2 linked regions of the Callithrix jacchus genome follow. The protein of the gene in region 2 interacts with the protein of the main gene of each other region in a biochemical or structural test. Links are inferred from orthologs where the notes say so. Each region holds a gene or a part of one and is shown on either strand. Other genes may lie near its edges.

Region 1 (4,683 bases), on a different chromosome or scaffold from region 2:
AGCTCAACAATAGTATCAAGAATAGGAGGTGGCAACAGGATGATTTGCAAATAATATTTGGTTATCATTAGAACAAAAAGACTATTCACTATACAGGGTTGTATGGAGTACTGGAAAGAGCATGAAATCAGAGACACTTCATTAGAATTCAAGTTTTGCTCTATATTTGCTGTGAGATTTTGGCTAAGCCAATTGACCATTCTGATTACACAGTCTTTACACATGCAAAATGCTAATACAGTTATATCAATGAAGATACATTGTGAGAAATACATCATTGTGCAAACAAAATAGGGTGTACTTATACAAATCTAGATGGTATAGCCTACTACATACTTAGGCCATAGAGCATAGCCTATTGCTCTTAACATTGTCATATATGGAGTCTGTTATTGACCCAAATGTTGTTATGCAATGAATGACTGTAGTAATACTCGCTACTTAGTAAAAATACCGTCATTAATGGTGTAGTAAAATGGTAACTGGCATAGTAACACTGTAAATTGAATACAATTTTAGAAGGTTTTGAGGAGGGAGGTTCAGAACTGTTCTCCATTGATTTGCTTACAAAGACATTTTCATTTTCCACCAAAGGTTTTAGCTGTGAAAACTTTGGCAGAAATAATATTTTAGGAGTTTTTCCCCCTGTACTGTCAACTAAGTTTTAGTAAGCACATGACTTTCCATTTGTATCATCCAACTGATTTTAAAATGAATCAATGAATGTATTTATTGACTGACTGGCCCACTTCACAAAGGAATGTGAGGAAGGACACTCAATTTGACATCCCTGTGTTTCTCTATATTTGGGTCATGCATTTTGTCTTGCTTTCCAAATTGAAAATGTGGTGGATGCAGTAGATTGGCCTTTAGTATCAGCCCTTCCCTCATTTAGTATACCTTTTCCTGTTTCACAAGCTGGAAAGCTACACGCTCTAGACATCCTTGCTGCTAATATTCTGCATGTGAAATTGGTCTCACCAATTGCACACAACAGAGCAAGATTTGCAGGTGCTGTTTTCATGCTGCTAGCAAATGCAGCTGTCGAGACCACGGTGTTTTGCAGCAGTGTTCCAGTGTCCTGTTGATTGTTCTGTCGGGTGTTGAAAGGAAGCTGGGGACAAGAAATGCCAACTTCCTGACGCCATCTTCCTGATTGTGGGCAGGAACCAGTATGGCACTCTTCTCCAGGTAGTCATCCGTGGATATTCAGCCTTTCTCCAGCCTTTCCAATGATCTCTAATGTCTCCAATCCCCACTGACAAATCCCTTTCTGACTAGGAGTAACTAACTAGCTGAGTGCTGCAATGAAATCCTGACCGACAGATTTGTAAGCTCTTCTTGGGCAGGAACCCTCGATATAAAGCAATGAACTTGCCTTTTAATGGAGTGAAGCCGAGGGATAAACAAATAAGTGAAAAGTTTTAGTAAGATGGTGATATGTAAAAAGTAAAGTTGGTTAAGACAATGGGGAGTGCAGGAGATGAGGTGTTGCCGTTTTAATCAGATAGGTCAGAGAAGGCTTCCTCCTAGGGTGATTTTTGGCCTGACTCTTTGGCATGTCAATTGTGTGCAAGGCCCTGGTGGAGTTACCGTGTTAAAATGCAAATATCCAATTACTCCATTACTTAGATATCCTCTAAGTGATGCTACTGTTGTCCAGCTCCCCGCGATTGAATGTTTACCCATAGTAAACATGGCGGGAAGAGCTTCAATCCGACCCTCGAACGCTCAATAAAAATGGCGACGGCACTTCCTGTGCTTGCCCTCAACAAAGATGGCGTCAACACTTCCTGTTTAAGGTTTTCGCCTTTAACAAAGATGGTGCTTACGATGCAGGTTCCCTAACAATCAGGATTCCGGTTGCAGTTTTTCTCCCCCGCCCCAAAGATACGTGGTTGCAGACGTAAGTAACAGGAATCCATCTTTTCTTGAAAGTCCTGCACTGTAGCATCTGCGACCTGGGCCTGCGGGGGCTTCCCCGCCCCCCAACTTGCTCCCCATTTCCGATCCGGGCCAAGGCTGGGTGGCTGCGGCAGTGCCGGAGGCCCGCTCTCCCCTTGGTCAGCTCTTAAGTTTATTCCCAGCACTCCCTCTTTAGCGGGTCGAGTTGCCACAGAAACCGCCCATAGTTCTTCCTGTTGATAGAAGGGTTTCAGCGGCCGAGGCCGAGAATTTTTTAAAAAGTTACCAATGGGCGCTCACGGCCAAATGTGAACACCTCCCTTCTTCACCTGTCACCTCCCGAACTTCACAGGGTTGCGAGGGGGAGTGTGGGATTGGGTGTCGCCCAGCAGTAGTACTGCCTGGGGGTGTCTGAAGCCGCATCTGTCATCCCTACCTCCCTTCCCTGTCATTTATTCTTCACTGCCTTACACACAACCAAGCCACAGCACACTGGTGCAGCGGTGGTGGAACTGCACCTTCAACTCGTGCCTGACTACTGACCAGTGCTGGATGTGAGCTTTTTTTTAAAGAAAAAAAAAATCCCATAAAATGTCCCATGCAGGTGTGGCCACGATAATGTGCTACAGATTCTGAATTCTTAGTGGGAAGGAATGGAGTTTGTGACTGTATATTGTGTAAGTTTTATTGTAGACTGGGCACAAAACAACCTTTTTCTTGAGGGTGATAGTGTAGAGGACTTTAAGCAAAAAGAGCCTTAAACTCTGTACCTGCTGCTGATTTCTGTCCTGCACTCCTATTACTGATCAGGTTTTGCAAATACTTGCGGTCAAAAGGGCACCTGCGTCCAGTGTGGCAGTTTTTGCCATGGTGGTGGTGCAGGTCTGATGAGGGCAATGTTAAAAACACCATTTCTTCCCCAGCTTGTTAAAACTAATGGTGCTCTGTGATCTTCAGATAAAAAGTGCTTTTTCAGAAGGGTCTCTGACCCACTTTTTTTTTTCTTCTTTTTCTAAATTTCTTTATTGATTGAGCCGGGACCCCATTGTGCTAAAAGCAGAAACAGAAAAGATGATTCATTTTCGGTGTTGTTCATTATGTTAGGAAACGTTCAAAATTAACTTGGCTTCACCCGTGTATTAAATATGGCACTCTGCTACGGTCTGAAGATATGCCTGACCTGAAGGAACTTACATTTCATGTCTGTAATTTGAGCTGTGATTTCGGCTTTTTCCAGGGAGAAATGGAGGCCAGAGACAAACAAGTGCTCCGCTCACTTCGCCTGGAGCTGGGTGCAGAGGTATTGGTGGAGGGACTGGTTCTTCAGTACCTCTACCAGGAAGGAGTCTTGACGGAAAACCATGTTCAAGAAATCAATGCTCAAACCACAGGCCTCCGGAAAACAATGCTGCTGCTGGACATCCTACCTTCCAGGGGCCCTAAAGCATTCGATACATTCCTAGATTCCCTACAGGAATTTCCCTGGGTCAGGGAGAAGCTGAAGAAGGCAAGGGAAGAAGCCATGACCAGCCTGCCTGCAGGTAGGGCTCAGAAAGATCACTTCGAAGCAGCTCCAAAACGTTGGAACTATGCCCTTTGGTTTTGTGTTTGTTGGTTGGTTTGTTTTTGAGACAGTCTCGCTCTGTTGCCTAGGCTGGAGTGCAATGGCATGATCTCAGCTCAGGGCAACCTCCACTTCCTGGGTTCAAGCAGTTCTCATGCCTCAGCCTCCTAAGTAGCTGGGAATACAGGCATGTGCCATTGTGCCTGGGCCAATTTTTGTATTTTTAGTAGAAATGGGGTTTCATTATGTTGGCAAGGCTGATCTTGAACTCCTGACCTCAGGTGATCCACCCACCGCAGGCTCCCAAAGTGCTGGGATTACAGGCATGATCCACCATGCCTGGCCAGAACTATGCCCTTCATATTTGAAGTTGAGATGTAAGGCAGGACAAGGGTCAGCAGTTGATGAAAGTGGGTAAGGAGTTGGGACTGAAGGGACATGATATTGGAGGCATAGGATCAAGAGGTGGCATTAGGAAATGGTGGGAAGGAAGAATGAACCGTGACTGGGAGGTGAAGGAGGGGGGCTCAGAGAATGCATTTAGAAATGCTTCCAGGGAAACCTGGCATGTCACTTGGGAAGCATGTTCCCATCAGAGAGCCAGGTCATATCTCAGCCGTTGGCATCAGGAGCCATTTGGAAAGCGCAGATGGAAAGCAGGCATTCGGCCTACTGACAACTGATTTGTGAGGTGCCAGAGCTACCAGCTGGAAAAGGTCAGATTCATGGAGGAGGAGATAGCCTCTAGGAAGGCATGTCCTGCACCTGTCCCCTGGGCTGTCCTGTGTGGCCAAAGGGGATTATGTTGAAGGCTGACTTGGTTTGTTTTGAAAGGTTATTCGTTTAAAGTGTCCTTTTTAGTTTAGCTTAGTTCAGACAACTGGAGTATTTAATTTTATGGAAAGCAATAGTTTGGGGAGGGTCTCAGTTTGATCTGAAGGAGAATTAGAAGCTGGAGAAGAGAGAAACAGTTCTGGTTCTGTTAGCCTGGCTTATAGCAGGAAGAATACATGATATAGAAACACTTGCTTTTTCTTAACCTCCCTTGGCTCTGTTTTACAAAGATGAAGGAGCAGAGAACTGAACTTAAACATTGAAAAAAAGAGTAATTGAAAGTTGACTTGCACGTTTTTAACAAAGTTAGAGAATCAAGGTTCTCTGGGGTTTTTGATAACAGTGATAGAAGTATTCTGGTTCAGTGGGCCCCAGACTTT
Region 2 (3,920 bases):
TAACAGCTGTCTACCACCACGCCTGGCTAATTTTTGTATTTTTAGTAGAGACAAGATTTCACTATATTGGCCAGACTTGAACTCCTGACCTCATGATCTGACTGCCTCAGTGTCCCAAAGTGCTGGGATTACAGGCATGAGCCACTGCTCCCAGCCAGTGGTGTTCTGATAGACATACTCATCATCTGCTGTGGGATTACGGAAGAGGCACCCACTCAGTCTGGGATAGATTGGAAAGTCTTCCAATCTGAAGCACAAGTAGATGTTTAGAAGCAGAGAATTAGGGACTAAAAGTTCCAGGCAGAGAATACTATGTAGAGACTGCCAAATTTGGGCAACTGTAAATTCCTGGGTTTGGCTAGAGCATAGATAGCACAGGGCATGGGGTGGGGTGGCTGCCTTTATGGCAAATACTCCCACTTTTCCACTTTCTTCTCCCACCCAACAATTGCCAAGTCAACAGACATCTCACAGAAATGCCTTTGGGAAGGAGAAGAGGTGAGACTTACACGCATGGTATTGTAGTTTGATCAGATTGCTCTCCTCCCCAGAACTAGAGATCAGCTGTTTGAAGTAAACCTTCGATTGAGAAGTAAGTTTTGGTCTCCCATCCAACTACTTAACCAGGCCCAACCCTGCTTAGCTTCTGAGATGAGCAAGAAATCATTTGGGCATTCTGCAGGATCAGGGAAAGTTCAGGTGCAGTGTTTGGACTCAGTCAGGACATCAAGAGGACCTGAGAGAGAAGCAGAAAGAGAAGAGAGAGGGGACCAACTTTGCTTGCTCAGAAATTTTTCCTAAGTTCCAAGGTGTTCCAAGGAAGAAGGGAAAACATTCTTTTGCTACTTTCTGTATGGTGGTGATCATGCTATATTTTTTTTAAACAGAGTCTCGCTCTTGTTGCCCAGGCTGGAGTGCAATGACACGATCTCGGCTCACCGCCACCCTCATTTCCCGGTTTCAAGTGATTCTCCTGCCTCAGCCCCGGAGTAGCTGGGATTACAGGCATGAAACCACCATGCCTAAGTTTTGTATTTTTAGTAGAGACAGGGTTTCACCATGTTCCTTTGTATTCTTTTTCCTCTTAATGTTATTTTTACACACAACATTTCCATGGCATTGTTCATGTTCTTACTGTAAACTTAGTATGACATCATATGAGTATCCCATTAAAAATGCTTGTTCGTATATTTATTCATCCATTCAACAAATAATCCAGGTACAATCCTAGGTTCTAAGGATACAGTCCTAAATAATACATATTTTTGTTCTCAAGGAGCTTAATTTCATAGTATTTTATACATTACCAAATGATTGTGGGATTTTGTTTTTACAAGAACAAAATACAACATGAATACCTTTGCCCCCTCTCTTCTGGAATGAAATCTTGTTTCCCAGTGACAGCAGTGCCATGGTGCATCTGCTAGAGGGAAACCTGGTAACCCTGTCCTCAGGCTCAGATCCCACCACCCTTTCATGAAACAGTTGCTTTGGCCTATTTGATTACCTTTCCATTTCATAGACTTAATATCACCTGTTTTAGATGAGTACTCCGCTTTCGGTAAAAGGAAGGATCATTGTGGAAATCATTGAAGGAATGTGCTACTTACATGGAAAAGGCGTGATACACAAGGACCTGAAGCCTGAAAATATCCTTGTTGATGATGACTTCCACATTAAGGTAAACCATCATTGGTAGGCTTCCAGAAAGTTGGGTGATTTTAGTTTTGATTCTCCAATGTAAATTCATTCTTATAAATTGTAGAAGCTAAAGGAAGACCTAGCTCAGCTTATGACTGGTGGTGATGGTGCCGAAAGGCTCTGCCAGTGTTTGGAAGGAAAGATGCAGGTGTGATGGGATCCGGAGATAACTGTCAGGATAACTCGTATCTTTCGGGAAAAAGTGGAATTGAATGGGGTAGGTAAGAAGACCTCTTTCCTAGATTCTGTTTTTCTCCTCTGTTAGACTTGAGATGGAAACGTTCAGGGGTTGCCTTTTTCATCCTGGAATGGGCCACTGGCACCATGATTTTCCCCAGGAAATCTGTGTCACCAAGTCTCCCCTCCTCTGGAAATGCAGGGGAATGTGAAGATGTGTGCAGAAAATCCTTAGAGTTCAGATGTGGCCTTAAGATTGAGATAAGCAGTGAGTTGATCATTTTGGCATCAAAAACCTCTACTTTGACATTTTGTTTTATATTTTTATTTAATTGTTTACTTCTGTCTGTATTTTGAAAAATCAGTCTCCAGCTGGGCGTGCTGGCTCATGTTTGTAATCTCAGCACTTTGGGAGGCCGACGTGGGCAGATTACCTGAGGTCAGGAGTTCAAGTCCAGCCTGGCCAACACAGTGAAACCCCATCTCTACCAAAACTACAAAAATTAGCTGGGTGTGGTGGTGGGTGCCTGTAATCCCAGCTACTTGGGAGGCTGAGGCAGGAGACTCACTTGAACCCGGGAGGTGGAGGTTGCGGTGAGCCATGGTCACGCTTCTACACTCCAGCCTGGGTGACAGAGCTAAACTCCATCTCAAAAAAAAAAAAACTTTGACCACCTTCTTTCCATTGTAGTAAAGGGAACAAGGGAAAAGGATTTTTCTTTGGTTCATTTAAGGGCAGGACTTAGCTAGGGGTAGCGTCATATCTAATTGGCTTTCACAGCAAGAATCCAAGCACTGGCCTCTGAGAGGGGAAGCGGAAGGGGAAGCAGCACTCGGTGCGGGGGGGCACTCAGGAGCTGCTGACACACGGGCCTCTCTCCACCAGCAGGTTCTGCGTCTAGCACTTTGTCCTAGTCTTGGGCAGATTTTTATTCCCGTGTCTTTTAAAAAAAAAAGCCATGGGAATAAAAATTACTCATTCATAACCTATCTTGAAATTCATGACTTTCCTCTTATGTCGTGGCTTAGAATCTGTGCATTTTTGGCAATCACATGCCACAGCTAATCCCCACGTGCCTGCTTGGATCCCTGGAGGCAGAAGTGGAACTGACACCCTTGTTCTCTTCTTAACTATATGGCTCTGTAATTTTGCCCCGCCACCTCTGTTCTTGTTCTGTATCTGACCTTGGTATTTTTCTCTCTGCTTTTTTGTGTGTTTTTCTCCTCCTTCCCACCCCATCTTCCCTTAGGTTCAGGCCACGACTCAAAACAAGCAACACTGCAGTCCTTATCCTCAGTGTGTCTTTGGGATCCCTAGACACTCGCATTCATGGGCCTCTGGACGCCATTTGGGGAAATAGAAGGTGTAGTACTTAGCCACTGTCTGCTACATAAATGTGCAGAGAAGCAAATAATCATGTTTCCCCTAACCCCCAGAAATAGTTGAAAACCATATGCAGAGTCAATGGGGAATTAGGATAAATATGTTTGCTTGTTACTGTTCTTATCAGAAATGTCTTCTGCTTTTCCCCTCCCATTTATTGCATAAGGAATGTGATACCAGAATTTCATGTAAACAATTTCTTGGGGGAGATTTTACAAATGGCTGGCTAGACAGTTTCTGTGAGTCTATTGCAAAGTCACTGTTTCTAACCTGCCCAGTGCAACCATTTCTGGAAAATTTACCATATCTTATGTATATTGAATAAACCCCAAATTTAAAGTCAAATCTGATTTGCTTGTGGTCTTCACCAAACAATCACAGTGGCTCGTTCTCTTTTGCAGATTGCAGACCTCGGCCTTGCTTCCTGTAAGTCGTGGAGCAAACTGTCTAAAGAGGAGCACAATGAGCTGAGGGAAGTGGACAGCACCTCCAAGAAGAACGGCGGCACCCTCTACTACATGGCACCTGAGCACCTGAACGACGTCAATGCAAAGCCCACAGAGAAGTCGGATGTGTACAGCTTTGCCATAGTACTTTGGGTGATATTTGCAAATAAGGAGCCATATGAGAGTAAGGCATTAGAAGAGTACGATTTTGA

What was found. The genes of interacting proteins can lie anywhere in the genome.
Region 1: the proteins of RIPK1 (region 2) and CRADD form a complex in vitro, tested with the Homo sapiens proteins (2 studies listed by BioGRID). The link is inferred for Callithrix jacchus from reciprocal best matches to the Homo sapiens genes RIPK1 and CRADD.

The regions. Positions count from the first base shown.
Region 1 is NC_133510.1:96,739,822-96,744,504, forward strand, and holds the start of CRADD (death domain-containing protein CRADD), read left to right. Parts: upstream 1-1,808; 5' UTR 1,809-2,063; intron 2,064-2,298; exon of another isoform or gene 2,299-2,459; intron 2,460-3,142; 5' UTR 3,143-3,148; coding exon 3,149-3,446; intron 3,447-4,683. UniProt on the Homo sapiens protein: Adapter protein that associates with PIDD1 and the caspase CASP2 to form the PIDDosome, a complex that activates CASP2 and triggers apoptosis.
Region 2 is NC_133505.1:27,558,310-27,562,229, reverse strand, and holds part of RIPK1 (receptor-interacting serine/threonine-protein kinase 1), read left to right. Parts: intron 1-1,543; coding exon 1,544-1,681; intron 1,682-3,663; coding exon 3,664-3,892; intron 3,893-3,920. UniProt on the Homo sapiens protein: Serine-threonine kinase which is a key regulator of TNF-mediated apoptosis, necroptosis and inflammatory pathways.